2 linked regions of the Lepisosteus oculatus genome follow. The protein of the gene in region 2 interacts with the protein of the main gene of each other region in a biochemical or structural test. Links are inferred from orthologs where the notes say so. Each region holds a gene or a part of one and is shown on either strand. Other genes may lie near its edges. The genes, in order: kin and mettl22.

Evidence for each region.
Region 1: of the proteins of mettl22 (region 2) and kin, one has a biochemical effect on the other in vitro, tested with the Homo sapiens proteins (2 studies listed by BioGRID). The link is inferred for Lepisosteus oculatus from reciprocal best matches to the Homo sapiens genes METTL22 and KIN.

Annotation. Positions count from the first base shown.
Region 1 is NC_090702.1:43,103,222-43,119,129, reverse strand, and holds the start of kin (DNA/RNA-binding protein KIN17), read right to left. Parts: upstream 6,881-15,908; 5' UTR 6,759-6,880; coding exon 6,645-6,758; intron 6,305-6,644; coding exon 6,210-6,304; intron 4,332-6,209; coding exon 4,288-4,331; intron 4,018-4,287; coding exon 3,895-4,017; intron 3,272-3,894; coding exon 3,090-3,271; intron 2,499-3,089; coding exon 2,450-2,498; intron 1,597-2,449; coding exon 1,539-1,596; intron 1,100-1,538; coding exon 979-1,099; intron 451-978; coding exon 400-450; intron 1-399. Other genes in the region: atp5f1c (ATP synthase subunit gamma, mitochondrial), read left to right, coding at 7,034-7,074, 8,003-8,037, 8,534-8,665, 9,476-9,680, 10,724-10,867, 10,957-11,021, 11,655-11,810, 12,132-12,232. UniProt on the Homo sapiens protein: Involved in DNA replication and the cellular response to DNA damage. May participate in DNA replication factories and create a bridge between DNA replication and repair mediated by high molecular weight complexes.
Region 2 is NC_090714.1:13,698,006-13,713,996, reverse strand, and holds the start of mettl22 (methyltransferase-like protein 22), read left to right. Parts: upstream 1-9,389; 5' UTR 9,390-9,590; coding exon 9,591-9,696; intron 9,697-10,103; coding exon 10,104-10,430; intron 10,431-11,986; coding exon 11,987-12,027; intron 12,028-12,128; coding exon 12,129-12,273; intron 12,274-13,068; coding exon 13,069-13,140; intron 13,141-13,893; coding exon 13,894-13,947; intron 13,948-14,371; coding exon 14,372-14,452; intron 14,453-15,289; coding exon 15,290-15,392; intron 15,393-15,608; coding exon 15,609-15,777; intron 15,778-15,991. Other genes in the region: transmembrane protein 114, read right to left, coding at 2,614-2,694, 2,807-2,984. UniProt on the Homo sapiens protein: Protein N-lysine methyltransferase. Trimethylates KIN at Lys-135 (in vitro).

The sequences.
Region 1 (15,908 bases), on a different chromosome or scaffold from region 2:
AAAATGGCATTAAAAAAATGGTAGTTTCTGAATCTTAAAACAGACTAACGTAATTTAAAAACTACAGTTTGACAAATTAACGAAAAGTAAATTAAAGAGGAACTGCAGTCCCAATTTCTCAGACCGGTTATTAGATCTTGATAACAAAATTAATTAATTGACAGTATAGAGTGGCTCCTCTGCAGTGTTCATCCCCTTCTAGATATCTGTTATAAACTAAACTGGGGATATACAGTGCAGCAGTTAGATTTTGCAGCAGATATCGTTCCATATGATTAATGTTCAATATTCACTAATTACGTTCAAACACAAAGAAGTTGTTGACTGTGTAGAACAAGAGGCTGGCCTCTCATTATGACCGTGTACAAGTGTGAAAAAGACTCAAATCTGAAGACTTACAGGATGCAGCCAGTAATCCACTCTTGTTGTTTTCTTTTTTTGTTCTTCCATCTAAAATAATTACGAAACAATCTAATTTTCTAACTGTTTTGATAAACCGATCCACAAGATGATATTTAAAAGTATAAATGGGGATAATTGTAACATCTTTTCTGCAATTTCCCTCAGGGGATCAATAAAGTATCTATCTTTTCATTTTAGGTTTTACATGTTTTATAATCCTGGAGCACTAGTGAAAATGAAATGCAGGAGACTTGGCGTTCATGTCAACATAATAGGTCTGAATTTTTATAGCCCTTATGGGCTTTACTAATAAGTAAGGACATGGACATTAAATGTTTCAAATTAAAATTGTTAAAATCAGTCATAACTCCCGGGTGTAAAAATGAACATAACTGAACATGTAATCTTAAATGAAAGATGTAATAAAATACACATAATCTTAATTTGGATAAATGCCCTATTAGGTCTGCCTAATGGGTATATTTCACCAACACTTGTAAATAAGGGCCTACATTTAGTACTGTGCACAACACATTGAAAACAAAGACTTCTATAATGACAATTTAGAAACAGTACCTCAATGATTTCATCCAGTGCAGATTTCTTCTTCTTCTCCTTCGATTCTGAGGTATGACTAGACTCCTTTCTCTTTACAGAGGTTGCTGCAACCTGCAGGGCACTTGGTCCTAGAGAAGTGCTGGGAAAATGATATGCTTTAGTTCTTCTTTTTAGGAATGCATTTATATTACAATTAAGAAAACAAAAGAAAATAATGAGAGTCAGGTAATAAAAAGAGTCCCATCAAAACAAACGTTTAGATTGATTATCAAGTTTAATATAACTTTTTTAAAATATCATCTTGTAACATACAATCTTCCATATTTATGTTAGTAGAAATGGAAGTAGAAACAGTCTTTTTATCATAAAACGTGCAAAAAGATTTATCAAGTCTTTATTCTCCTTAAATGTAAAAGTCAACTGAGATCATTTTAAACTCCCATTTAAAATAATACTCTAATCTACAGGTGTAAACACTGCTGTGCAGAAAAAGCAATTATAAAAGAAAAAAGAACAATCGCTAAAAATTAAAACAACCTGAAATTACATTACATGGTACTATTAATATTCATCCTTACCTTGATTTTGAAGAAGATGCTGCAGAGTTACTCAATCCCTTGGCCAAATTAAACACAACTGCAATATTAATAAATAATATTAACAACATGTAAAGGTTTTCCAGACCATTATGCCTGAGTTCACAACATCTACAACAAAATTAATAACTGAGTTAATCTTTTCTGTATCTATGAAGTTTCTTACAGTATTTGAAACTTCACCCAGGCATGTTGTTGAAGCAGATACCTAGGCATCCTTCAAGAAATGGCAGGATGAGATCCGCAGATCAACTATCTAAGTTGAGAGGCAAATACGTTAATGGGGTGAATGGCCTAATCTTGTTGTTGCTTTTACATTTTTTAAGATACTTGAAATTTCTTCTGATACTTTTCAGAAAATCAGAAGTAAACTGTGCTCTGGAGCAAAAAGCTTTGTGTGCCAGGGCAGTCTATGAAGATACTGCAGTACCAGAAAACCTGCCACTATAGGAAAGAAAAGGGCCTCTAACAATTGTAAATCAGTTCACTGGGTGACAGTTAATTATTAAATTACTGATGGAGAGATTGTGTCCACAGTCTTACATTAGCTGACTTAATAGCTATTATAAAAATGGACTTGCATGGCATGATTAGATGTTATTTTAGGTCAAGACACATTCATATGTTTACAAACAGAGCTTTTCTAAAGTTTTATGGATTATGGATTCAAGACCTAAAGATCTGCTATAAATTATCCCACACCTTATTTCTGTCAGCTATTTTAAATTTTTTGGTGAATCTTATCATATTTTCTTTCTCCTTAGATTCAATACTGGCACTAAAATACCTCAAACTGGATAAATGAATACTACAAACTTACTTGTAGTTACGAGCAAAATAACTTGTTTTTAATGACATTCACTTTTATATACATTAATGTTGAAAGTACTCACCCTTCTCTTCTTCATTTTCTCTTTTCAATTCTGTAAAGACAGGAGTTTCCTAGAAAAATAACATGGTAACTAAGACCAAGATCTTACTGATTTTGCTGGAGACGATTTAAATAATTAACTGCTGTAAGAGTGAGGATCTGTAGAGAAAGAACTTAAAGTGATTACTACTCTTTATTTTGGGTATTTATTCCACACAGGCCAAGCACACTTTAAGAACTAAGTATTCATTGCCCTTTAAGTTGAGCATGATCATTAGCTATAATTACCTGAAACACTGTACGTGTCATTAAAGAATGTTAAATAGATCATACTGTTTAAAAGAACATTTGTCCCATTTAACCGCTGACAAAAATAAACTCACAAGAATGTAGGTTAAAACTGCAGGAGTGAAATGTATAGCAAATGGGTTCTGAGATTCGTGATCGGATTTAAGGAACTGGTGCTTAAGGAACCGATGAGACAAAACCAACAGTCACTGTGATGTAAAGTTAATCCAGGCCATCTGTTGAAATTGGCAGAAATGTGGTGTTTTCAGCTGGGAAATGGACTTGGTTTATATGAAGTTTGAAGAGATGTGAATCAAACGTAAGCTTCTCTCATCTGTCGCGAATGCTCTTACTAATATTAGCACTGTGATTACCTCCTCCTTGCCTTCTTTGCCTCTGCGAACCTGTTCTTCAATAAATTTCGCACTTCTTTCTTCATCATCCAGATCCTGCTTTTTCTTCTTCTCTAATTCTTCCTGCCTTCGGATTGTTTCAGGATCCCGATCAATGTACTGGATATACCAGCCTTTAGGTGTCTCATCCACTTTACAGTATCCTAAACATAGAAAAACAGATTTCTATTCTCTTATACTTTAGCCCTACAAAGTTTAGGAACCTCTTATCAAAACAGTTCAAAAAGGCAAGAAATTGCGGGCCTGCAAGGAAATATTTTTTTCCATTTCACTGGGCATGCCTATAAAAGATTTCCATCCTATTCATGGTGTATGATTACCAAAGCTGTGGCTTTAAAGTAAGATCTGGTACCGATGTTTGGAGAGTGAGTGTTAAAGTGTGAAAATATGCATGGATAAACAAGGTTCTCTTAAAAAATATGATAAGATTTTTAACACAAGAAAATAATTAAAGCAGAAGAATGAAAAGCATTACCAACAACTGTCTAACTAGATATCACATGGAACAAGACATTTCTTTTTACAAACCTTCTATCATATTTAATAAATCCTATGATTCAGTATGTGAAACGTTAAGTTTAGATATATTTAAAATCTTTCAAAAATGATACCCAGAGAAAACAATGCCACAACTGGCTTTGTGACAATCAATCATGGGCTTAAATGTCCCTTTGATTCAAGGCAGAAATCCTCCCCTTCACCCACAGAACACTACTGCAAATACTGATATCCCTGGTAGATCTTTATCCATTTTAAAAAGACTTACCTTCTTTACCAAGCCATTTAGTGAAGTCTGTGAGGGTTTCCCACTGAGTAGAGTTCATATGGACATGTTCTCTGTTGCTTATATACTCATTATAGACAATATTGTTGTGGACTCGCTTTGTCCCTGCAAATACAACAGAAATCATTACTAAAATGATATATCAATGTTTTCTATTTGTATACTTTAATCCATTAAAGAATATGTTAAAAGCAGATGAGGTTCTCTGCAACTTTTACAATGGCAAATGTAAACACAGGCAAACTGTAAAATACAAAATTGATAATTGTTTATCTCCTCCATACTTTTCTTGTATGAACAGTGTTTAATATGTTAAACTTTAATATAATAAAGACTTAACTAAAGCATAGCTAGGTATTAATCCACTAATCTTACCAAAACGTCTTCTAATCAGCTCCAAAAAATCATTCTTGAACTCCCTAAAAGAGCAAACAACCAAATCAGTTCTATGCATTAATAGCAAGCAATCATAAATGCTCAAGTAAACCTTAATATTAATCAGAAATATAATTTATGTATTTTTGGTTAGCATTAATACCACAATTATATTACATGATATTTCAGCTGTTCAAGTCTTTATAACAAATCAGAAGTTTATTAGGAATAATAACACCAGGTAATTAAGTGTACTGAAAGGATTATGGAGCGTTTAGTCAAAATTTGGCTTAACCCCCTTTGTCTGAGGGCTAACCTCCTGGCCATAGGACGAGGAGGCTGAGACCTCTATGCAGAGTGAGGAGTGACCAAGGGGCAGCTGCAAAGGTGGAGAAGGGGTGGAGGTGGGTTGCAAAAGATGTATGTGAGGGAGAGAAGGGGATCACATACAGTATTTAAAGGGTTTTAGGAGAGGAAATAACATCAGGACTGATTGTGAATTACCGACAGCCCGGTCTGATTGAACCTGGCTGCCGTCATCCCTCCTGAACTATCGTTATAGACTCCATGACATTCCCCAAACAAGTAGTATTTAACATACAGAGGGTGCTAGTCCAGGACACACTGGACTACTGTATGTTCATGTCAGGATCTCATAACATAAATCAGCATCTGATACGTGTGATGTACAGGCCTCATCAAGTTCCTGGAATGAATGGATCTGACTTGAATCAGAGTCACCTTATTCATCAAACCTGGAATTTTGGTCTTCTGATCATTCCAACAAGAGCCTGGTGCAGAACAGGCAGACTACACAGTTATGGTCATAAGCAGGCTTTAAGGTATTTCCTCTAAGTTAAAGTGTCACCCGCTTTAAGTTATATAATATTTTTTTTAATTTTCTTCAACGAATGTTATTTCTTAGGAGGTAAGAACAGAAGTGCCTTGGGAACTCATCTTTGCTGATGATGTGGCACTGATGGCAGACTCAGAAGTAGAACTACAGGAGAAAGTGTTCAAATGGCAGAGGAGTCTGGAAAAGGGTGGACTGAAAATGAATGCAGAAAAATCTGAAATAATGGTAATGGAGAGAAGAGGAGATACTATGACCAATGTTGAGGAGACAAATGGAGGAAAACTGAAACAAGTTGATGACTTTAAATACCTTGGATCAAAACTGGTAAAGGGAGGAGAAACACTGGAGGCAGTAAAACAAAGAGTGAAAGCTGGATGGAACAAGTGGAGAGAAATAACTGGAATAATCTGTGACAGGAAAATTCCCAGAAAGTTAAAGTGCAAAATGTACAAGACTGTGATTAGACCTGTACTACTATATGGAGCTGAATGCTTGGCAGTTGGAAAGAGGGAAGAGAACTTGATGAGAAGAACTGAAATGAGGATGTTGAGATGGATTCTGCAGATTTCAATGAAGGATAAGATCAGAAATGAAGAAATCCGTAGACGATGTAGGGTGGTGGATGTGGTTGAGAAGATGCGAGAGGCGAGGTTACGGTGGTATGGACATATCATGAGGAGGGACGTTGAGGAAGTAACAAAGAGGGTAATGGAATTTGAGGTGGAAGGTAACAGAGGAAGAGGCAGGCCTAGAAAGAGATGGATAGATTGTGTGAGAAAAGATATGGAGGTATGTGAAGTGAGTGAGGAAGATGTGCTCGACAGAGACAAATGGAGAAGAGCAACCAAAGCAGCTGACCCCAGGACAGTCTGGGACTAAGGCTGTGAAAAAGAAGAAGAAGAAGAATGTTATTTCTTATCGGCACCGTCACCGTCTAGGTACTTCATTCTTTCTGATTTCCAAAATTTCCCATTGGCTAATCACCTAATATATTAACAACACAGGGCACAGTCAGAAAATGGAAATGGTAAAGGAACAGTCTTCAGTTGTCCAGTTCGACACTCACTCTGAGAAGTAGTCCATGAACTGGTCAGGATTCTCCGAGGCGAGAAGGAGCTGCCTCTGGTGCGACTCCGACATGCAGTGACATTTGAAGCCATTCTAGCAAGAACACAACAGGACTCATTCAGACCTTTACTTCGCGTTTTCTCCGTCTCGAATCACAGCAATTATCATTTGCAGTCAATAATTATGAGCTTAAAATACTCGACAGTTGCATCTGCCGGTCAGCACGCAGTAGCTAGTTGTATTTCGTCACTACATTGTATGATAATATTTCATAAAACATAATAATTGTGAGACGTTTTGTGGCGACATTTTCTTGTAGTGTGGTATGAACACGATTTAGACTTAATACCTTATCGTACGTTTAGCTTTTAAGTGTTATTTGTTAGTTGTTAAAATGTAAAACGTTGTGCAAACTAAAGTTAACCAGACTCACCTCATCTCTGCATTGTTTCTGACACATCTGACAATACCATCTTAATTTCTGAAGGCCTTTGGACTTTATCCTGTTGCTTATAGCTTTGGGACTCAGAAATTCCGCTTTTCCCATTTTGGAAAGCCAATGTTCACAAACAAAACAAAATAACGATGATCCCTGTTGGAACCAGAAGTTCACAACGCGCTCTCCTTACTGTTGCGTTTCACGTCATCAACAACTTGCGCTCCTTGTTTTCGGTATTGGGTCATTACGTCATGCTTACCCACACCGTCTGACCATCGCGAGACTGAGTTGGGCCATGTGACGTGGATTTGTTTGACTTCTTCTGCGGAAAGTGAAGTTTACGCGTGCGCAGTGAGTGGAGATTGACCTTCGTTGGTGTCACCATGTTCGCGAGAGCCAGCGTTCTGGTTTTTCAGCCACAATGGTAACGTGAATCTAATTGCAGGGTTAAATCCAAAACGATATCTGTTAATGTGCGGTTGGTTATTTTATGCTTTAGCACGAGTCAGATTTTGTGCTGTTCCGTAGAGACAGATCTTGCTTGGCACTATTTTACCGGTAGGCCTGGGCAGTTTTTTTTGTAGGGCGGCCAAGTTCATGCTATTAAGCGAGATTCATTGTAAGAAACATTTAAGTCTTTATTCATATCTTACCCACTGTTAGTATTTTTTGCTCTTTAAATTTGCATTTGCACAACACCTCATGATAATTTGAAACGCCGCCGTTGCATAAATGCTTACTGCGGTAACGATATAGCTCTCAATGTCACTTCTCCAAGACGAACAGGGCATTCATTGCATTATTGAGAATATGTTTCAAGCAAACATCAGACATATTAAAAACATATGTTTTACTATGTATTGTTCCTTTGTCATTGTGACAGTTAATATCTATATTAACGATATAGATCATTAGTGTCAGTTATTAAAACCGCCTGAACTGAAATTCCTATTTGAGCCTGTGCTATACTGTTTTACGGGGTGATTAAAAAGTTGTTAGCATTGATGTGGAAAACTTGTTTGTGGTGCAATTATTTAAGAAATTATTCAATTTGATGTGGCTACAAACATGAGTGGGCCATTTGGCATATATAGGCATTTAGAGTTTTAGTAGCTATTTGATCTGTGGGTCATATCTCAGCTTTTTTTTCAAACAAACGGCCGGATATCACCTTCAACATAGTGGCTGTGTAGCTTGTTCCACCCTCCTATAGCTTACTGTGTAAAAAGCACATCCTGTAAATTCCACAGACTACCTTTTGAATCTGTTTTGCATGCCAAAGGTGCACTGAATTGTAATGTTATAAATGAATCATTACAAATATTACTGACTAATATTAGCTTCTCTTGCAGTGGCCAAGTCAGGAACATGGCTACACTGAAGGACAGTAAGTATTGTTTAATAAAGTGTATTTTATCCTGTTATTTGGACATTTTGCTCATAGTTTTAGTGGATTTTAGTCTTTCATGATTAGCTGATTTCAGGTCTGCATCATTAGGTTAGTAAAGATCTGACGAGTGTGAAATGTAAAGCAAGGCATATAAATGTGAATTATGAAACTTTGCCAAGGGAAAAGGTTGGAAATGCATTGAAATTGTGGAAAACTTCTGTGACTAAAACCTAAGTGAACAGACTGTCTTAATTTCTCACATGCATTAATCTTTCTGTTCAGTGGACAGAAAATACCAAGATGACTATTCCTTGTAGCCAGAAATTAAGTGAATAATATTTTTCAAACATTGGTGCAATGGGATATGAAATGTAACTGTACTCTTGTCACTTTTTTAAATACTAGCCTGTTTCCATGCAGTGATCAGTTGAAATGATTAAAACCTTTTTAAAAATCTCTTGCAATTGTTCTTAGTGTATATATTTTTTTCTAGTCACCATTCGCCTGAAGTCCATCAAGAATATCCAGAAGATCACCAAATCCATGAAAATGGTTGCTGCAGCAAAATATTCAAGGGCTGAGAGATCTTTGAAACCTGCACGTGTTTATGGAACTGGGGCCCTGGGTATGTTATTAGTTTCCAGGAGTTTGTCACAGGGTGTCACAAACTGCCCAATATATTAATTTAGATATTTGCCACAATGGAAGCTAGTCTTTCAGAAAAAAATGCTGTTTGTGTTATTTTAAAAGCAGATTTTTAAAAATTATAAAATGATATATTAATGTCTTTTAAAATAGTGCATTATTATTCAAGGAAGATTTTACATTGTAGAAAACAGGATTTAAAGACGAAGACGCTGAGGGCTTTTACTTACACTTCTGTAAAGCACTTGCCACATAATCTTCTCTGCTTATGTGGGGGAAAAAAAGTTCTATAGAATAATCTATACTTCTGTTGAGTTATTTTATAACTTCAGATGGGCTGGCATGGTGGTACTGTGTTTAGCATTGCTGCCTTGTTGAGATGGGGCCCTAGATTCAGTTCCAGACCTGGGATGCTATCTGTGTGGAGTTTGTATGTTCATGTGTTCACGTGGGTTTACTCCAGGTGCTCTGGTTGCCTCTCACATCAAAAGACATAATGGAAGGTTAATTGGCTTCTGAGAAATCTGGCCCTGGTGTGAGCGTGTGTGTCTGAGTCAGTGGTAACCTTTGTTACCAGTGATGGACTGGCATCCCATCCAGAGTGCACCCAGCCTTGTGCCTGTTGCATGTCGGGATGTGCTCTGGCTCCCCTGTGATCCTGAATTAAATAAAGTGATTAGGAAATAGATAGGTTGGGACAGTTAAGATGTTTTAAGTGGGATAAACAGGCTTTTGGGTGACTGTAATAACTACCTGCCAAGCTTGAGTAGTGACTCTGATATTTTTCCAGCTCTGTATGAAAAGGCAGAGATCAAGGCTCCAGAAGACAAGAATAAGCACGTCATTATTGGCGTTTCTTCCGACCGTGGTCTGTGTGGTGCTATTCACTCCAGCATTGCGAAGGCCATGAAGAATGAAATCGCCAGTCTGACCAGCGCCGGGAAGGAGGTCATGGTGGTTAGTGTTGGGGACAAGCTGAGAGGTATCCTTCAAAGGTAATCCCTACTTTATGATAGTCCTGTTAACTGATCTTGTAATTGACTTTAGTCATTCATAACAAATGTCTGTTGTTGCTGCACGCTGTTTTTGTTTTTAATTGCTTTTCTTGAGTCCTGGCCATTTTATTTTTCACTTTTATTGAAGTGAAGACAGACAAAATATTGAAAGCCGATACCAACTTTGTATTAAGTACTGCCCTTAAAAGAAAAGTTCATAATGTACTTTCTTGTAAATCAATAACAAAAACTTTTTTTGTGTGTTTTTTTTTTACAATGGCACTCATTTATACTTTATATATAGTTTCGTGGCCTACATATTACCAATATGCTGAGCTGGGCAGAGAATATTAGTGCAATTGTGAAGAAAGCCCAGCAGTGTCTGTACTTTCTGAGGTGCCTAAAGAGGAGTGGCACCCACAAAAAAGCACTGGTTAGTTTGTACCGTTGTGCCATTGAGAGCATTGTGACTGGAGGTATTAGTGTGGTTCGGCGGTGCTACCCAGAAGTACAAACACATTCTCCAGAGAGCGATTAGAACAGCCGAAACATATCATTGGAACAGAACTTGCTTTGTTGGAGAATCTCAGTACAGCCCGCTGCAGGAGCAAGGCTCACGACATCCTCAAAGACCCACTCCACCCTAGCCAAAGTCTGTTTACCTGGCGAGACGCTAAACATAACCTTCGGCGTCGTGAGCAAGAGAGCATTAAGACCCGAAGGAACAGGTTTACGAACAGTTTCTTCCCAAGGACAGTGCCAACCGGCATAACGTATAGGAGGCCCACATCAACCTCAGCTCCGTAGACGCAATGTCTTTTATCACGTGTAACTTAGGAGCCATTCTTGTGTGGATTTTTTTTGCATAATAGTGTGTACAGGTTGTGTAGAGTCTTTTTTCAGTTTGTGTATATAGTGTCCTGCACATAGTCTGTGTGTTTACCCTTTTGTCTTTATGTTCTCTGACTGAGTGAAACGGTGTAAGATTTCCAACGCGCTGTTCGTGCAAATGGCAATAAAGGTACTTGAACTTTACCTGGCAGGACCCATGGAAAGCACTTCTTACTCAATTGCAAGGAAGTAGGACGCAAACCTCCCACTTTTGGGGATGCTGCCACCATTGCCACCGAGCTGCTCGATTCCGGATTTGAATTTGACCAAGGCTCCATCATTTTCAACCGATTCAGGTAAACATCCAGAACCTCATTTTAAACTCGCACGTTGGAGCTTTCAGCATCGGGTTGCATTTAAAACGGCTTCTTTTGTTTTTTCTTAGGTCTGTTATTTCGTACAGGACCGAGGAAAAGCCTTTGTTCTCCCTTGACACCGTTGCCAATTCAGGTATGTTATCCAATGAGAAGGATTCTTTTTACAAATATACTGCTTATTAAGTGTTTGTTGCTAATGAAGCAGTGTGATGATGAGCAAAGGTGCTATTTGCTTGCAAGTAGAAGCAGTTCAGGAATTCTCCAGCAGCTCATTTTGTTGAAATCCCAGGTGCTTTAACTAATAGGTGATAAATAATCTGATTATGCTAACAGGCATACAATGATAAGGTTGCTGGCTTCTGTGTTCCACTATAAAAGAGAAAATGGTTTTGAAAAAGAATCAGTGCCATTACGTTAACTTGAACACAGAATTTTATTTTCTTCACAGAGACATACATTGCATGAATGCCTATTATAAACATAAAATTAGGATTTTTATTTTCAGAAATACCTTCTCTGCAGTTTCTGAACACCATTGGTTTGGATTTCCCATGCAGGTTATTGAGAGAGAAAAAAAAACACTTTGCATTTACCTAAAAAATGTTTTGATTAAATGAAATGGGATATACTTGCTATTATGTGTATCTTGTGAGTTATCTGGAACATTTCCACCACATGATCAGAATTACATTAAAATTTATATTAATGAAACAACAGATGGATGCATTAAGCCTGTGTATAATGTGTTAATTTTTGGTCCTTTCAGAAAACATTGGTGTCTATGATGACATTGATGCAGATGTTCTGCGAAACTACCAGGAGTTTGCTCTGACCAATATCATTTACTTCAGCTTGAAGGAGTCAACCACCAGCGAGCAGAGTGCTAGGATGACTGCTATGGACAGTGCTAGCAAGAATGCTTGTATGATTTGTATATTTTTATTTTAAAATGCATTTTAGACTTTCAGAATTTATGAAAGAGCTTTCTGAGTTTGCCTTTTACAATAGTCCAGTCTTCTGCAAACTAACACTATTTTTGTAATGTCAAATTTTTAAACCTCTCTGTATGATTATATTCTGAACCAAATCTTGTAAAACACATTTTTTTAAACCGATTGACACAGTCTTAGCTGATCTATTTGAGCAATTTAAAGACTTTTGACTTCTTCAAAAGGGATTCTCTTAATGACGTAATATCTGAAGGTGTGATTTTGTTAAAGATCTTTCGCTCTGTTCTTTGCAGCCGAGATGATTGACAAGCTGACGCTTACTTTCAACCGCACCCGTCAAGCAGTCATCACCAAGGAACTTATTGAGATCATCTCTGGTGCTGCTGCTCTGTAAGTAAAACACTGTTCACATTCATAATCTTCCCCTGTTGCATTTGGTTAGAGTTGGCATCAAAATCTAGTTGCCATAAAATGTTCATAAGTCATTTTGACTTGTAATTATCTTCATAAATAGTCTTCATCACCATTGGGGGGTGGAGTGGTGGCTCTGTGGCTAAGGATCTGCGCCTGTGGCTGGAAGGTTGCCGGTTCAAATCCCGCAGCCAGCAGAGGAATCCTACTCTGTTGGGTCCCTGAGCAAGGCCCTTAACCCCAACTGCTCCAGGGGCGCTGTACAATGGCTGACCCTGCGCTCTGACCCCAAGCTTCTCTCGCTGTCTGTGTGTCTCATTGAGAGCAAGCTGGGGGTATGCGTAAAGACGAATTCCTAATGCAAGAGATTGTATAGGGCTAATGATGTTATGTTATGATGCCCTGTACATGTAGTTCATATTGATCATTTTTTGGACTGCTGTCCTGAGTAAAAGTACGATGTGCCCTATTATATAAACAGCTAAGGCAGAGTTCTTGTCCTGATCCAGGAAAACCACAAACCTTCCAGTTTTTCTTCCACCTGATTGAAGCCTTATTTGCAATAACAAGTAGCTAGATTGGAATATTTACAAGTTTTTTATTTTGTCCATTCAGTAATTTAATTGTCCTTAAGAACTGCAGTTGTTACAAATCAAACATCAACATGTTTAAGAGTTGAAAACAAACAGTAAAGCATTTCAAGTGAATCCTGATTCATGTTCAATTGTGAAACGGGGCTTTGACTGGAACAAAGTCCAGAAGGTGCTTGGACCTCCAGGACCAGGATGGAGGTCCCCTGAGCCAAGGCACTGATATTCACTCCTAGTCCTGGAGAGCCACAATGTCTTTAGATTTTATTCCAGTCTGGACTCATTGACCTGTAAAACCTGGTGAACTAGAGCACATCGGGAACGGGTGTGAATATCTCCGAGCTAAGAAAATGCGAACCTGCATTTTAAACAAAGACATGATCATAAAATCTTATGTTTTTGGAATATGAATATGATCCCTGTTAAATCATCAATGGACAACAATGTACTCTTAACACTCCTGGGTGTTCCTGTCTCGCGTGAAGTGGCAGCTAATTCCAAATACCTAAATTAGGTGTGTCAATGTGATGGCTTCAAATAATGTTTATGTACTGGCAGACACAGGCTTTGAATTGCAACATTTTTGTAGGATTTCCCCGTCTAGTCAGTGAAGAAATCAATGAGTATTACTACTTAGTGAAGTACCATTTCCTGAGGCCAAACTTCAATCAGGATTTAATCCTTTGTTAAAGATGTAGTTTAAAGGTTACTCTTTATTTCAACTGATCCTTTGTTCTGATTTATTTCTGGCATGTTTTCAGAGATTGAAGTGTGGTTTTATCAGAACCAAAACCGAGGTAACGTGCCTTAGACTAGATATTGTGATTTTCATGTTAGTTTGTTCCCTAATTAAATATTTTTGGAAGACATGTATGGTTTTGAATCTCCTTTGTGGCTTGGCATTTTCACCTTTTAGAGATTAAAGATTTATTACATATGCTTTATGCCTAAATCTACTTCAGCTGTTAGTAGTTAGTGCTTTGTTCTGCCTGTGGATCTAGTTCATTTAGACAACCTGGTTTATTTTCATTCCATAGCAATCAACAGATGTAATATACATTGCACTTTTGTTATAACCAGTTTTATATGTTTTTGTTATAGATAAACATGGAAGACCAGCTATTATCAAGTTTCAGTAAGGTTCTGGTGTCCACGCTGAGAATCATCAGTTCTGTCAAGTATTCGTGAAACTATCCTCTGTTTGTAAAATATCTTCGAATAAACATCTTACACAGAATTGTAATTGTTTTTTTTCCTTTGATAATTTGCGTTTTACACAAAAGCAAAAATAAATTGTGTTCTACAAGTTGTGAAAACATTAAAGTATAGATCAATACTGCAATGGAAAATAACCCATTTCTTGTTTTCAAACATTTTGAAAATGAGCCGCGTTTACTAAATTTTAAATAAAGTATAGTAGGAGAGTCTGCAAACCCTTAGTTTGAGTTGGCTGCATCCAGTGTTAGACTGAGAAGCTTTTTCACTGTTCTGCAGCTAGATCTACAATGCACATTTCTGCCTCTTCCCACGCTGTTTAATGCAAAACTAACCTATTTTAATGGTACCTATACCAGAATCTCAAATCTCATAAGTCAAAGTCGTCTGATGTATGAGTGTTTATTAACTTTAAAAAAGAACAGTATTTGTTCAATAATACAAAGAGCAATTTTTTTTTGGGGGGGGGGGGGGGGGCAATTTAGAGATGCCAGCAGGTTGCAGGAATGTAGGGGAGAACTGGAGCATTGCCTGGGGAGGATATGCAAACTCCAAGCAGAAGATGCCCTACAGTAGAATTAGAATTAGAACTCGGGACCCAAGAGCTGTAAAGTATTAGTGATAACTTGTATACTACTGTTATAGTGTATCAGTATACTGTTATACTGAACCTTTTTGTATCCTTGCAGTTATTTGTTAAATCCTAATATTATAAGAATATCAAATTTAAGGTTATTTTTTGTGTTTAAGCCGAGTAGTGAAGTTGAATTGCTAAGGAGAGAGGTTAATCATGAAGGATACAGTATGTGCTACTAGGAATAGAATAAAATGCCACAAATTCCATATGAAACAAACTCAGATTTTAAAAAAGGGGAGCACAAGTGAAAGGGATATTAGGTAGAGAGAGAATAAGGTACAGTATACTACAATTTTGTATTACAACAGTAAAAGAACTGTCCCCCAGAGGTGACAATAGATTAAAAGGGCTAATATTTCCCCCTATTGTTTAGCGAAAACTTTTAAGTACATTCTGCAGACTGAAGAAAAAATGTTCTATATTAAATAGCATAGAAGTGAAAGTTGTTAAAAGTATTTTAAAATATTTAAAGAAATCTCCAGGGCCTGATGGTATCCCACCAATTGTACACAAAACAATAATTCATAGCCCATCAAGAAAAATCAGCAGTCTCTCAAGAAGGTGGTAAATACACAATGATGGATACACCTATCTATTCAAAAGGTGAAAAAACTGAACAAAGTATAGATTAATAAGTCTTACTTTTCTTACTATCAGCGTTATTGGAATTTTAATTAGATAATCATCCATCTGCGTCAATATGTTCAAGGAGAAACAGTTGGTCTTGTTTATCTCGTTAGAACTTCAGCAGTAGCAGTAATGAATACAAGTTGACCAGATGATTTTTACAATACTTGAAGTTCCTCATAATATGAATTCTCCAAAAAAGTACAGGTAAGGGGTAAAAGCTCAAAACGTGATTAGTGGTGTACCACAAGGATCTGTATTGAAACCTCCACTCTTTATAACTTATATTGAAGATCTACATTACGGAATAGTGAACTTTTCATATTGGTGTATACTATCAAAGAATATTGTTATTGCTTGAGTATTTCCAGATGTACTATTTTAAAGTATAAGGTTTCTTCATTGATAAATGAATTAACTATTTTCATCATATTGTTTATGAAAAGAAACGATCACTTTGTGCTTGAAACGGGGACAATACCATCATTACTAAAAAATCAATAGTATTCAACAAAACCCAAAAGCAATTGACAAAAAGTGCTTTAATCTGCTTAATTAATGTAGTAAGTAACATTTCAAATAAAACAACT
Region 2 (15,991 bases):
GCACCTCATTACAATCAGCTAAGCCCAGAGGAAATATATTGGGATGTGCTGCTTTGTCTAATTATCAGCCACACGAGCTGAGTGCCTGTAAACATCAGCCGTTCGTATTGTCTTGTGTGATATTTAGTTTCTGTTCTTCCCTTCGTGGAAACGATATGCCAAGAATGTCAGGCACTGCAAATCTGTGAACCTTCACCCGGTGGCCCTGCAAAATCTAAAAGGTAACTTCTTTACCAAACTGGAGTAGTATTCCTGTTGTTTTTTTTGGGATTTTAAGCATGTTTTTTCCTTGCGAAATCCCTTGCTCTCACCTACAGAAATTCATTGATTTCCAGGAGTACACAAAGGCTTTGATTTGTGAGCAGTTCAGCTGTCCAGAGTCATTCCTTCCCTTTCTCTGTAGGCACTGAATCATCTCATGATGAAAACCCTGATCTCTGACATTTCAGAGGAGTTTTTTTTTTGTTTAAATACCAGTTCAGTGTTAAAATTACTCAACCACAACACAGGAAAATGTTTAAACTAGCATTGACCGGGATAGACTTAGTGCTAAATGTCTGCAGAACAAAACAACTACAAAGTTCATCCCTTGGCAGTTGTTTTTTACAGATTTGGTTCACAGCTTACAGAGCTGATCCTCACCTGCAACAGGGAAATGCCTGTTTCTTCAGGAAAATTATATGCATAGGAGGAAAGGAAGATTGCATAAATTTAGCCAAACCAGAACAGATGTACATCGGCACTGATGCCACACGAGCTCATCCGCTCAGACTGTAAAGATAACGAATGCTGGCAAATGGAAGACATTACAAGTCCCATCACTAATCCTCAGTTTGGGAGAGATGTCAGGGCAGATATCCAACAAACTCTGGCAACAGCAGGTGGCAGGTGATACACACTAACTGCACTGGGCTGCAGCAGAAGACTAATCTTTCTTCAAAAGCGTCTTATTTACTTTTCTTTGAATCCATCATGTTTCCTGAATCTGTATAGTTACAGTATACACACTCTCTTATGTTATCTGAGTGTGTTTAAAAATCTATTATCATTAATGTGCACAAAAAAGATATTGGCCTGAAAGGCAATTAATGAATACAACATTAATCAGAACACAATCTAAGGATTAAGACAACACATTTTTCTAATTCTGCATCAAGTACACTGTACACATCTACAACACTGTGACCTTTAAAAACATTTACAAACTAACAAGGGCCACAATAGTGTATTGTTACTTCACCTGGTCTTCAATTAAGTAAGGTGTGAGGTCATGAATTATCAGACCCTTTCCACATCCTCTGTTTATTTCTGCACAAATCTCATTGAGAAAGTAGTCTCGGAGTAGTTGTGGTAATAGTATCATTTTCAAAGTGCTATTAACCATTACACCAATTATTTCAGTGGCCCATCCTGTTATAGAAACAACATTACTGGCACCTACAGGTACACAATCCATCCTGCTGTATAAATACAATGGTAATGTAAAATGCCCCCCACATAAATTTGGCAGCCATGATGTACCACTTAAATGTTTTGCCATTTTTTTTGTCAGAAGTGTCATTTTGACTGTAGATACAGTATGCTATCTAAAGATGTGCCTCTCCACACCACTTCTGGTCGTCTGCACAAGAGAATGAAATTGTGCAGCCACTGGCGAAACCTGCAGACTCTGGGAATGTACTGATTGTTCAAACAATTTATCACATAATAAGTACAGCTTAACGTTTCTGAAATGTCTTCAATTATTAAAGATGTAAAGCTTTCTGATGAACCTGTATGCCTTCGTCTGCCCATACTAGGACTGCAGATGCCTTGTCACAGAGCACAACAGAAAATATCAGTGCAGAAATACAGCTCATGCCTCAGTTCTCAATTGATATCTTTTTAATGCCTAATCTAAAAGGAATTAAGAAACCTACTGTGAAGAAAAACAAATAATGTAATAATAATAAAGTGCTAAGTGAAAATAAGCATGAGGCGAGCAGTTTAGGGAACTATTCACGTACAATTAACACCTTGAGCTGTTTGATCTCGGCCTAATTATAGCAGCGACCCTTTATAGACAGGGAAAGCAACATGCGTGTCTGCTTGTATTGATCAGGTTAGAGATCTGCTGTTGTCTCAAAATACACCAAGGAACGGAGAGATGATGATAACTCACTGTGCTACAATATGAAACAGGCACAACAATAAAGCGAGCGCAATTTATTAGCAGTCCTCTTCGTGCAGCAAACAAAACCTAGAACCAATCCAGACCGAATCATTTTTTGCTTTCTTTTTCTTTTCCGGTCCCCGGCGCTTTAACTGTGGTTGAAGTGCGACCAGACGAATATCGCAGCCTGTAAATTGCTCAGACCGATGCAAATGATTCAGCTCAATTAAATTGTCCCAGATGTCTATAACCTTTAATATATGAGCCACGGACCACGCTGTTATTGTTTTCTACAAGAGTAAATAGCCACTGGAAGGAAAACAAACAGTAGCCACCAACATTCTGAAATATGCAAGAACCAAAAATAATACGCAAGAGTTTGGTTAAAGGTCTACTTGAACGTTTTGAGAATGTTGAAATGCATCAGGTTTAAAAATATAGACTCTTAAAATGATTCTTACTGAGAAGTTGCTTCTGGGAGTCTGTGATGTTTAGGTTTTCATTTCCAAATGGGTTTACGAACGGCAAGCAGTTGCTTTTTACTGTAAAAAAAATAAATTTAAAACGAAATATTAATTAACAGTCCCATGACTCAGTCGGATAAATATTAAGTTTTAATTATGCAATAGGTAAATCGTTATGAAAATAACTTACAATTGCAAGTTCTCCATAGTCCGGAATGAGAGCTGAGATGAGCAGAAGAGTTGTGGTCCCACTTCGACGCATCAATTATGTACCAAAAATCAGTTCCTATAGCAACAACCAGAAACACAAAGCTCAGGACACCGACGAGAGCCACAAAAATCGCCAGAGCGCTTAGTGTAAGCTTCATCCTGGCTGGGACGAGTAGAGGAAAGAGGACTTTTCACATTTTAGCTCCCGTAGAAAGATTACTGGAAGGAAACCCAGGAGGTATCTGGTCCAGATGTGGACTGGCGTCTACTGGCCGCTGTGGGTCTGCAGCACAATCCCTTGTAGCGAGGACTGTTGGCAGTAGGTGGCACATTTTTAGGTCTTGATGTAGTCATGCATTCCAGTATCCTATTCGTTTAAAATCCTGTTGTGATATGTATTTAAATCATAGGTGATGGCGGCTTTAAATTGCAAATGGCTTTGTGGCGCTGTGCACAGAGCTCGCCAATGAGTTTTCTTTTTACACATAGCTCTTTTGTTCAAAAGCGATTATAGTCCAGGAATAGGACCAGTGTAGGCGAATAATTTTGTATTCGTTTTCGAATCTGAAATCCGCTGCCCGTAGTATTTCTGCATCTCAGCACAGAAACGCATGTAAACTTGAGTTAAGAGGCTCTAAAGTTTTAAACCCTTCTGAAAATCGTTCCGTTTGTTTCTGCGTTGTGGTGACGACGGTGATGATCATGATCATGGCTGGGAAGAAAGAACGCAGATACGTCCTTTAATAAGATTAGTGTTCCGGGTTAATTGGGTACAGTCGGACTCATTTAATTTATCTGCCTCACCTCGTAGTCTTGGAGAAAAACGAACTCCGAAACTGTGAAGCTTTTTTGTGATGTAAATCCCTGACACCGAAAATCAAGAGTACATATCTCAACTGTCAATAAACCTCTACTTTCTGAGTAGCAGGGGCAGTAGGTTTCTGCATGGCAGTCATTAATAATGCTAAAAGCGCTTTAAAACAAGACTTGAATATGTGCCAACCCACAGTATGTTAATTTGCTCGTTCAATAGAAACATATCCTGAAGCACAGCGAACGCCGCCTCAGTCCAGACGTAACAGTGAAAACAGATTTTTTTTTTCTGATTCTCTCAAAACGCAGTGAAATTGAACACTGACACCGATATCGATAAGGAAAATGTAAAAACTTCGAATTCCAATCAGTCGTACAGTACCCCTGTCACAGAAACCTCACAATTCAATACGGTAATGTGTCATGCTGTTCTTTCCAAGATAATACATTCTGGAAGGCGCCATCGGAGCTCCTACGTCTAGGAGTATGATGATTTGTCTCATTACAATATTACAGGCAACGGTGGTAATAATATCAGTAGTCAAGTGTTCTGTGCCAAGAGCGATTATGTTACGACAATCCCCCCGGATGCCATTTGGAGACTGGCTAAACAAACATAATTACAACACGAAATACAAACGTGTTTCGGATACTCGCAGTCTGTAGTGCAGTTGTAGCTGTAACTAACCCGTGACGTAAGGGTTTGGATTTGGGATTAGAGTTTAGGTTACTTTCAGGTTTACGATTTAGTCTAGAGCTGGTTTTAAGGGTAAGGCTGACCTAAGGTAAGATTTGGGTTATGGTAAAACTGATCAAGTAGTGGTCAGGGATAAAGTTAAGACTAAGATTTAGGTTAATTATAGTGTTAGGCTTAAAACAAAGGCTAAATTTGAGATTTATTTTATTGATGATTTAAGTAAAGTATAGAGCTAGGGTAATTTATTAGTGTCTATATTAAAGTTAAGACACAGAGGGTTAAATTAGAAAGCTACATTCAGAGTTCAATGTAAAGCTACAATTAATGTTTTGTTCAGGATTTTTGCTAGGAAATTTGGAATTTAAGGTTAAGTGCATTAAGGGTTAAATACAGGGATGGGGTGAACAGCAGCGATAGATGAAGAAAAGTCTATATGTAGGGGGGAAAAATCCATCCCCGAGGTTATTGTGTTAATTACAAGTGGCATTGTCATAACTAATTCGGGCATTGCTGAAAACTTAAGAAAAAAGAAGATTCATTAATTCCTCTCTGTCAGTTTTCATTCCATCCGAAGTCTTTAGACCTCGGAACTAAGATGCCGCTGTTTCCTGAGCTCCTACGGCTGTCGGTCTGTAATACATGTTGCACTGAACTGTCAAACACGGGGTTTGTACATAGGGGCGAGAGGATATGTGCAAACCCGAGAGGCGCTGGTACTATTTTAACTTTGAACAGTTACAACTGCGTGTGTAGAGTGTTAATCGTCATTATTCATCTCCGTAGAGCTGTATTTGTTTTTGGCTTCACAAATTCCAAAGGAAACTTGTAGTGCGCGTCCGACGTCCCTGCCATTTCTGTAAGTTTCAAGTAACTATTTCTTTGTAACCTTTTCGTCCGTTTTCTTGTTACAGTAAGTTGGAAACACAACCCCCTCCACATTTTCACAAGCCTGAAGTTAAAGGTAGTTTCGAAAATAAGAAGAGTGCTTCAGGAAGGTTGTGAGCTGAAGACTTGTGTGCGTTAAATCAAAGTGCAGGCTGCGGAGAGCCTCTTTTAAGGTTCTGCAAGACGCAGACAGTAATTTGCTGTCCGTTTTACCAACAGACTTGACTGTTTCTGGTACAATAGGTGGCACCTGACGGACTGTGTCTGCAAATGGCGAGACGATTACAGTACTTACATTGAGTGTTGTTTCTTCCAAGTACTGCAGCGAACAGTCCGAGGAACTGATGTTTATGTATAAAGGTTACTGTCAATAAATATAACTGGTAAAATATAAAATCCCCAATACTAAAACAGCCTCAGAAGAAAGACAGCATGTACCTTTTGACTCAAGGCTATAACATGCATATACACCGAAACATACATGCTTGTTTTTTGACAAGATAGTACTCTGATTTTAATTAGCTGAAACCATTATTATACGCATCTTGCATAAAATAATCGTTAATTCCCCAATAAGGTAAAAGTATTATTTTGTCAGTAACTGTCACCAAGTGCGACAAGTGATATAATCATGTTGCAGTGTAAGCTAATGAAGTAAGACATGCATTGTAATGCAGTGTACTCAACAAAAGGTGTGACAGGCGAAGATGCAATAAGGTTTGATCAATGTAAAAATAAAAATAGTAACTATAATTAGCCACAGCTCGGGATTTGACAGTGAAGTCATGCGGAGGTGTAGCAGTGGTTCTGAGTGTAGCACTAGCCTAAATTTGGCAACAGCTGTGACGATAATTCACAGCCTGGTGCCAAAACAGTATCTTTAAACGTCTGGCATTGCGAGCAGTGGCTTAGGCTGAAAGTCACACTGGTTGTTCTGACATTCTACCAGCAATCAGGCCTCTTAAATTCTGTTATTTTCCACAGCAGTGCGCAGAAAGACTGAGGGCTGATGTGCTGAGATGGTGGTTTTTTAAACATGTGAGCAACATCCAGAATTCAGAAGTGTCAGTAACAACACTGGGAATTTGCCTAAAGCCGTTTGCATTGCATAGTTTATCCAGGGCTCCTCGGCAATTGCTTTTGCAAAATGCTACAGGGGATTTTTTTATGTTAACAGAATTTGGAAATGCCTTTTATTCCTGTTAGACCTACAGAGAAAGAGAGACCCGGGTGTGCTACTGTACATGCAGAGCAGTCTTCAGTGCTGTAGTGGGTGTTACTGATGTATCCTTTTAGGACCATTTGAACGTTAGTGGAAGTATGTTTTGATTGGCAGGATCAACTGTTTGTAAGTGTGGTTCTAAATCAGTGGTTTTCCCATCATCTCGTCTTCATTGAACAGGCTGTTTAAGAATCACTGTAGGTCAAAGAAGAGGCAAGTCAGACTTAACGTTGAGCTGTATATCTCACCTCTCTCCTCCAGGCTTCACATGCATTGTGTTAGTTTCTGACAGAAACCTTTTCAGGAGCCCTGGGTTGTGACTTGAGCCAATGACTACTCAAGATTCCCTGTAACAGATATAGTCAGGGGTTGATGTCAGTTAAATGTCAGATACTTTATTAATTAGCATGAACAAATATTGAAAATTGGCTAAATGTCTTTTTAAAAAAAATATTTTGAAAATCCAGATTTGGGAGTTGGCCAAACAAATAAATCTTACTGGTTTTCCCATCAAGCCAGCAACAGTAGTTTAATAATTCATAAGTACAACATCAGGCATCTAGACTTGGCTCATTGCATAATTATGTTGTATTTATGTGCCTACTCCTGAGTACAGAAGCTATTTAGCCTTAATCTGGGATGAGTACATAGCTGGAGAATGACTGCATTGATTTACTTTTCTTAAGCCTTCAGCAGTATAGTGAATGCACAATACAAGTCTCTTGCCTCTTTGCCATAAGGCTCAAAAAGAACTTGGTGATTTTGAAATCTGTTACGTCTACTAAAAAGCAATGAAGACCTGAATGTGAAGAAAATACAGTAGAAAGTAGCATAACAGGGGAATTCTAAGATTACAGTGACAACCTTTTTTAAATAGATTAAATGTTTTAACCCATATGCATTTTAAAGATTACTCTTTTATTTTGTACAGTACACACATTTAATGTTGTAATGAAAATTCTGTAAGATAAAGCAATTTTTACAAATTGAAAAAGACATATTGTACATATTGTGTGTATGTACTGTACACATTGAAATTTAATGCAAATTTACATCTTAATCACAGAAAAGATACCTCCTTCTGTGTTGTATGTCCAGTATATGGTAATATGAAATAACAAGATAGAGTATATATACATGGAGTGTACAAAACATTAGGAGTGCCTTCCCAATATTGCATTGTACCCCTTTTATACTCAGAACAGCCTCAGTTCGCTGGGGCGTGGACTCGACAAGGTGTTGAAACCATTTCGTAGGGATGCAGGTACATACTGCATGTCTACTCAGAGTAGCTTGTTCCATCTCATCCCACAGATGTGCAATTGGATTGAGATCTGGTGCCTGGGCAGGCCACTGCATTAAGCTGAATTTCCCTGTCATGTTCATGGAATCATTCCTGGACAATCTTAGCCTTGCGGCATGGGGCATTATCCTGCTGACAAAATCCATTCCCAGATGGATACATTGCTGCCGTGAAGGGATGCACCTGATCAGCAGTGATGTTCAGATATCCCGTGGCTTTCAAACATTGCTCCCCTTTTATCAAGGGGCCCAATATGTGCCTTGAAAGCACACCCCACACCATCACACCACCTCCAGCCTGCTGGAGATGTCTGGATGTCTTTTGGGTGGCGGACCATTCCGGATACAAACGGGACACTGTCGAGCCTGAAAAACCCAGCAGTGTTGCAGTTCTTGATGCACTCAAACCAGCATGCCTGGCACCTACTATCATACCCCGTTCAAAGGCACTTACATCTGCTTTCTTGCTGATTTTCCCTCACATACAGTACACCATCCAAGTCTCTCTTGTCACAAGCCTTAAAAACCCTTCTTTAACCTGTCTCCTCCCCTTCATCTACACTGATTGAAGTGGATTTAACAGGTGAAATCAATTAGGGGGTCAAAGCTTTCACCTGGATTCGCCTGGTGAATTTCAAGGATTCTATTTCAAAGAAAGAGCAGGCATCGTTAATGTTTTGTACACTCATTGTATTTTCATATAAATGCAAAAGGTAGGCCCAAATCTGTGCATAATGTGTACCAACTTGCCAAAGAAGAAGAAATGTGTGTTTAGCCCACTAATTATATATCTGAATCTGTACTGAAACTCATGTTTTAAACTGACATGAACTGTTTAATAAGCTAGATCTCTTTTTCCACTAACAGCCCAAATAAGCTATGCAGATGCTCATTTTATATTGACAGAGCACTGTGTGGATAAATGTATACTATATATAGTACCCACATAGTAATCTCTTACATAAGCAAGTTGATTTATACTGAATTTCAAGCCTGTTACCCCACTTGAAATTACAGACATGAATTATACATGATGATTTTCTGCTTTGTTTGTACAGTTTGTACAAGAGCCTGCAGCTTTGCAAAATCTAGAATGTATTGAGTTGCTGCACATTGGGAGTCATATTTGTTTCCCTTGACATTCTGTTACATTGCAGCTAAGAAACAAATTGAGCTTTCTGTCTTCCTGCTGATTAACCAGTCAAATGCACTGTTTATTACTGTGGAGGACTTTCTTTATATAGCTTGGAATTTAAATACAGCCCTACTAATCCTACAAAGTAACTGATAGGTTGTTCAGTTTTTTCAGTCGTGATTGAAGAATTATATTGAGGTGTGTATCTGTGGCACTAAAAAAGCCTGGAGCCTAATTTTATCTTCCAAATCCTTCACTGATTCCACCTGCTGTGTAATTGGTTTACAGTTTCTGTAGATTTAGAAAATGTCTAGGCGTTGGACGCTTGCACTGGAGAAACCATGATGTATATTTTCAGGCAAGTCAAAACCTTGTGTAGCAGGGCAATAAAATTGGCATGGCAGTGCATATTGCCGAACACTGCACTTGGGAGAAAAGAACTCCTTCATTTTAATGATTCTGCCTTTGGTTTATTTCTTCAAAGGAAAACCTCTCCTGGTTGATTTGCGTACAGCGGCTGGCAGGGTTTCAGAACAGAGGCTTTGCTGAAGGACCCACGACAGCAAATCAGAAGCCCACCTTGCTGTGTGCTGCCTTGCAGAGGGACTGGAGCTGGTCATCGCGAACAAAGGCGAAACTCCGCGAAGATCCGGGGTGAAACGACTGGCTCCCGGGTCCGGGCCCACTGTGCCCGTCATGCTGCTCTCGCCATGGACCTCATCACGTTCCGCAGCGACACCGTGCTGTCCGACGTCCACCTGCTGCTCCCCCGCGGGCAGCGCCTGATGGCGCGCCTCAACGCCGCGGGGCAGCCAGGTACGGGGGCGGGAGACCGAGACGGCACAGACAGTGTGTCACTGCCCGCAATCCGCCTGTCCACCTGTCGTGCCGGCTCAAGCCAGGACAATGCTATGTAAGGGACCAGTCAGAGCAGGGACAGTGTCTCCTAGTCTGGACTGGGGACTGTGGAGAATTTCTTGTCTGGTGTTTTGAAGTTCTTTCAAATGCGCATGTTCTTAGACGGGTACTACATAGTAAAACTCTAATGTTGGGGATTCCTGTCATGTAATATTATCTTCATTCCTGCCGTCGCTATTAGATTGTTTAATCAATCCTGGTATCAATCAAGATTTTTCCCCAAGCGATATCTCTTCTTGTGCCCTGAAAAGGAAAAGGTCATCAATTAGGCCAACAGCTTCCTTTTTTCCCCCTTCCTCTTTTAGTTTTCGTTTCAAGGTTTAAGATTCTGCAGGACGGCTCGGGCTCTGCCTGCATCCCAGGAAATGAAGTGGCTGTGTCTGCAGCACCTGGAGAGAGAGGCGGCTCGCCTGGGGAGGAAGAGGAGGGAGAGAGGGGGCGGCGCCAGGTTATGGAGTCCCTCCTGGATGAAGACGGGGATCTGGACGTGCTGCGGAGACCTACGGCTTCCCTCAGGGCAGAGGGAGCTGTGGCAGAGAGGGACAAAGTCTGTCCCATCATTCTGAGTAAAGGGGAGGGGGAGTACAGTGATGAGGAGGAGTCGGCTGCTGACAGGGATGTCATTAAGATTGGTGAGAGTCTTTCTGTGGCAGGAAGCTCACCCTCTGAGCAGCCATGAGACCCTTGCTGCTCAGAAAAGGGTCCTCTGGCTGCCTGTGATGTAAAGAAAGCGAGCGCATTTTAACATGCTGTTGGTGTCCAGTGCTGAAATTAATAGAAATATTGATTCACAAATGTGCTGTTATCCTAAAAGGGGAAGAAAGTTTGCTGTTAAACAATTCATGTTTACGTGTTGAGTTGTTTATATGAGTTGTTGCTGTGTTGCTATGTTAATTTGTGCCGATCTTTGTTCTATCCTATTTAAAAATCCCAGACAGTTTCATAATCAGAATGAAGTTAACAGAATGAGAGTCGCAAGTCTCCAGTTATGCAAAAAAAGGACGGCCAGCCATCCATTCTCAAACCGCTTTGTCTACTTCAGGGTCGCAGGAAAGCCGGAGTCTATCCCAGCAAGCAAAGGGCAGTAGGAAGGGTACCCCCTAGACAGGATACCAGTCCATCACAGGGCACGCACAAACACAGATACACGCATTCATACCAGGGCCAAGTTTCCCAGAAGCCAATTAACCTACCAGTATGTTTTTGGACTGTGGGAAAAAACCCACAAACATACCAACTCCGTGCAGACAGCACCTCAGGTCTGGAATTGAACCTGGGGCCCTCAGGGTGCTCTGAGGCTGTAGTGCTAACCCCTGTGCCACCATGCTCTCACCAGCTATTGATTTTACATAACCGGTTTAACAAAATAAAATGAAAATCCTATTCCCAAGACTGAGAACGCGGAAAAATAATGTTGGTGGTAATTTCAGCTTTCGTAATGAAATGCGACTCATTTTTAAATTAATGGAAAATACGACGAATGCCGGGCAGACTTCAGCAGTGAAAAACTGTGTTAATGGGCCTGTGAAAGCGAGGGCATTCAGAGTGTGGTGCTTCATAAAACAAAGGGAGATTTACAGCCCTTTTAATGGCAAAGCCTGTACAGTGGAAGATAGAGTGTTTAAACGATGCTCTTCCATTGAACCAGCCAAGGAGCTGAGTCATATTAAATGTTGTCCTCTTAGTTTGTCTGTATCGGCCTTTATCTGCCTGAATTGGCTTCATAGCCCTTAACCCCAACTGGTCCAGGGGCGCCGTACAATGGCAGACCCTGCGCTCTGACCCCAGGCTGGGGTGGAGCGGTGGCTCTGTGGCTAAGGATCTGCGCCTGTGGCTGGAAGGTTGCCGGTTCAAATCCCGCAGCCGGCAGAGGAGTCCTACTCCGTTGGGCCCCTGAGCAAGGCCTTTAACCCCAACTGCTCCAGGGGCGCTGTAGCAATGGCTGACCCTGCGCTCTGACCCCAAGCTTCTCTCCCTGTCTGTGTGTCTCATGGAGAGCAACCTGGGGTATGTGAAAAGATAATTCCTAATGCAAGAAATTGTAAAGGGTTAATAAAGTGATATTATTATAGCTGTATCACCACTCTCTCCGTGGCCCTTGAGTGTGCACGTGCGCCAGCGTGTGTGAGGTAATTCCTTGCCAGGAGTGGGATTCTAACCCCAGAAATGTGCCCTTTGTTTTAAACAGAGCATACAATGGCTACACCCCTGGAAGATGTGGGTAAGCAGGTGCGTGTCCGTGCGTCTCGTTTGGTAACATGGATCTCGTTTCTGTGGAACACACCTTGTAGCTGACTTCTCTCTCTCTTTGTTTTTTCCTTTTCCGCTAGGTGTGGAGAGGTGCTGTCTTTATGGCCGATTACATTCTGTCGCGCCAGCAGCTGTTCAGGGGGCGCACTGCCCTGGAACTGGGGGCCGGGACTGGAATAACCAGCGTTGTCCTGGCAACGGTTGCCAGCAGCGTTTACTGTACAGGTAAGCGTGTCTGGGAACATTGAGTGTGATACAGTACAGACTGAGCTGAAGACCTGTAATAATGAGTGAAGGTTGCTGCACAAGGCCGTGCACGTATCTGTTTCCCTGTCGATTGGTGCAGACCCGGGGGAAATCGTTGAGTCAAGCATTCCCATTCTTTTACTGCGTTTTCACCCTGTCTTTCTCCCCCTCACTATCCGTTGAGTCATAGGATAGCCAGCATGTGCCTGGAGCGCCACTTTCATGGATAAACCAGCACCAGCATGACTTCATTGCCCAAAATGGCAAGTGAAAGGTGTGATCTGCTGCAGGAAATCTCATTCACACCTCCTGTCCTCATGCTGACCTCATGCTGACCTCAGTGCCTCCGTTAGAAAATAAAAACAAGGCCGCCAGGAGATGACAAAACTCAGATAGCTGGGCGTGCAGTGCTGTGTTATTTTCTTGCAGGATGCTTATTTTTCTTTTCTTTTGCTGTGGAAATGAAAGACACTGAAAGTGAGTCACTGCTGGAAAGCGAGTTGCTGGAAAATGTGTTCTTAAAAATGTTAATAAGTTCACCAGAGAGAAATTCTGATGAATATTTGATGTAGTATCTGGATTTTCACTTATGTGTGAAATATGTCAAGAAAAAAATCAAGGGGCTATAGGGCAAAGATGAGGTTATTGATTTTCTTCCGCTACAAAGAGACCTAAGAAATCTTCTGTAGACACGCAGTTATTTTATATGTTGACAATTTCTGTATGACCCGAGAGATCAATTTGTGTGTCTGTTTACTGTGCCGTGTCTTTCAGATGTTGGTCAAGATCTGCTGAGCATGTGTGAGAGGAATGTGGAGTTGAATAAGCACATACTGCAGCCTGCAGGTAAGATACTGCTTTCTAAATAGGCTGAACTTCCTGGGCATTTCATGAACACACTGGTTCCCTCTAGTGACTCACTTGGGTCACTCTCACAGTGTGCTGATCTGTACGTGGTTGTACTGGGCACTGATCTGCAAGAATCTAGATTAGATCATTACCTTCTGATATCCTAGACAAATTGGTCGCTTAGGAGAAGCTTTCAGTACCATATTATCAAAGGATTCTCTTTTCAATTCTAAAGAGTTTTTTAATTGTGAAGCTGAATGCTGTATTGTTCTAGTCACTCCCAAATTTAAAAATGCAAGTTAAGCCTAGATATTCAGTGAAATAGTGGATTTTCTTCCATACAGTCTTTATTTTGGATGAACTTTAGTAAAACAAAATGACTTCTGGCTCAATTTGCAAATTGAATTTGAATTATTTCTATTTGTTTAAAGCTGTCGTATTCTAAGTACTGTGCATTTTCATAAATGTAATTCCTCCTCGAATGCTGGCAATAATTTCTGGACGCTTTTGTGGGAATTAATTCATTTAATCTGTGTAATTAGTCTTCAGTGTCAGTAGTCTCTCTTAAATGTTTTGAACCACACATTTCTGCCACTAATTCATAAAAAATGAAATGAACATTCCATGCATAAGACAATATTTTGGTACCTGATTTTGAAAATATCAAAGCTCCTGTTGTCTATATACATTGGGATGCCTTGTTTACTATAACATCAGTTTAATTGTTTCTGTACCTCTTTTCATTACCAGGAGGTGAAATCAAAGTTCGGGAGCTGGACTGGCTCAGAGACGACTTCCACACAGGTACGATTATGATCATGAGAGAATTGCTAATGGAACCCCAGGAGTAATTACTTCTTTATCTGTGTGATACAGTTACCTACATAATCACCCTAAACTTGTGCATATGAGCACAGGCATTTCATAAGGTGCATCCGAGAAAAAAAGGAGCTGTGTGTTCTGTTTAATGCTCTAATCTGTTTGCTACATTGAGGAGCATGTTGTTTGCTCTTCTTGTGAGATGTGCTTTCCTGTTTTGCGAACATTGGTAAGTTGATAGGGTCCTGAGGTGGCAGAATCCATTGGAAGCTGATTTGAAGTCTGCCGCTTGCTGACTGTGCTTCAGCTGTGTTTTCCTCTGGGCGCGTGCCAAGTGGGAGCGGGGCGGCGCGAGGAGGTGACCTCACCGGCCTCTCGGTGCCTGACTGACACCGCCGCTCCATTGCAGGCGCGGGTCGGCAGTTCAGCTGGACAGAGGAGGACATCGCGGATCTCCACGACAACACCACAGTCCTGATCGCTGCGGACGGTCCGTGTGCTGCCCAGATAAGATGCGCACCTGTGATACAGTCAGTTAAAGCAAACATGTCCAATCGAGGCAGCCAGGAAAGAGTGGAATGTGATAATAAGATAAGATCACTTCTAGCACAGGTTAATTACTTAATAGAAATCACTTTATTAGCCATATACAATTTCTTGCATTGGGAATTTGCATACCTGAGACACACAGGCACACAGACAGGGAGAGAAGCTTGGGGTCAGAGCGCAGGGTCAGCCATTTATACGGCGCCCCTGGAGCAGTTGGGGTTAAGGGCCTTCCTCAGGGGCCCAACGGAGTAGGATTCCTCTGCCGGCCACGGGATTTGAACCAGCAGCCTTCCAGGCACAGGTGTAGATCCTTAGCCACAGTGCCACCACTCCGCCCCGGAGATAATATTTAGTCTTACCTGGGTCCTGTCAAACCATCTTTCTGCTGAGTCGCAGCTCCCTGCTGTTTCAGCGGTAACCTGAGTTGCCCCTGGCAGTAGGCTGGGTCTGGAAAGACTGATTCTCTGAAAGTATTCTTTAATTGCTCTGTTTGTTTCAACAATTCAAATTGATGAAAAGCAACATATGGCAATGGAGTAAAGAGAGCAGACAGCCAACTCCTGACAAGTAAACAGCAGCTGGGCTCCACGCCACTGTGAAACTTAGGAGGCTGAATGAATGGTCTTCATTCCATGAGGTTTTCATGTGATATGTTTGGGTGTATGTCTTAAAGGTTTTATATAATATTTAAATGACCTAAAAATAACCTGGATGGAAGGCTAAAAAACGGTGTCGCACTCCCAGTGTTTTTCTAATTGCATTGTGTTGTGTTTTTCAGTGTGTTATGATGACGAGCTGACAGATGGCTTGTTCAGAACACTATACAGAATCATGGGCAATCTACATAACCCGAGCACTGCCTATTTCTCAATTGAGAAAAGGTAATTCCTGAATGCAATGCGTGTGTGTCTGACCTGTATTAGCCGTTTTCATGCGACTCTGTTGGAGCGTGAGACGTTTCAGTCCTGAATGCTGTGGGCTCCGCTTTCTGCAGAGGGGATGGTATATTTCGGTGAACACATCCATCACATCATCAGGAGCTCATTTGTGGACTATCTCCGCACTGATGCTTAAGTTCGGTTTGGACGTTGTTCCAGGCTGAATTTCACACTCAGGCACATGGACGTGTCCTGTGAGGCGTACGATCACTTTCGCTCCTGCCTGGAGGCCCTGGGGAAACTGGCTGACGGCCGGACGGTGTTCTCTGTGGAGCAGGTCCCCCCCTCCTTCCCTCAGTTCTTCAGCTACGAGCGAATCGGTCAGCTGGTGAGTGGACCACGGAGCTCCCTGCCTGCGCTCGGCCCTCACAGACACTGTCCTGTCACATGTTAGAACTTAGTGATTTTTTTCGCCAAGGTACATACCAGCATGGCAAATATCTGTCCTTGGTTAGTTACTGCTCTGTTTGAACAGGGTTTAAAGGGCCTTGTCCTCTTTTGTGATCAACAAATCTGATTTTAGTGGGCAGGACTGTGGTATT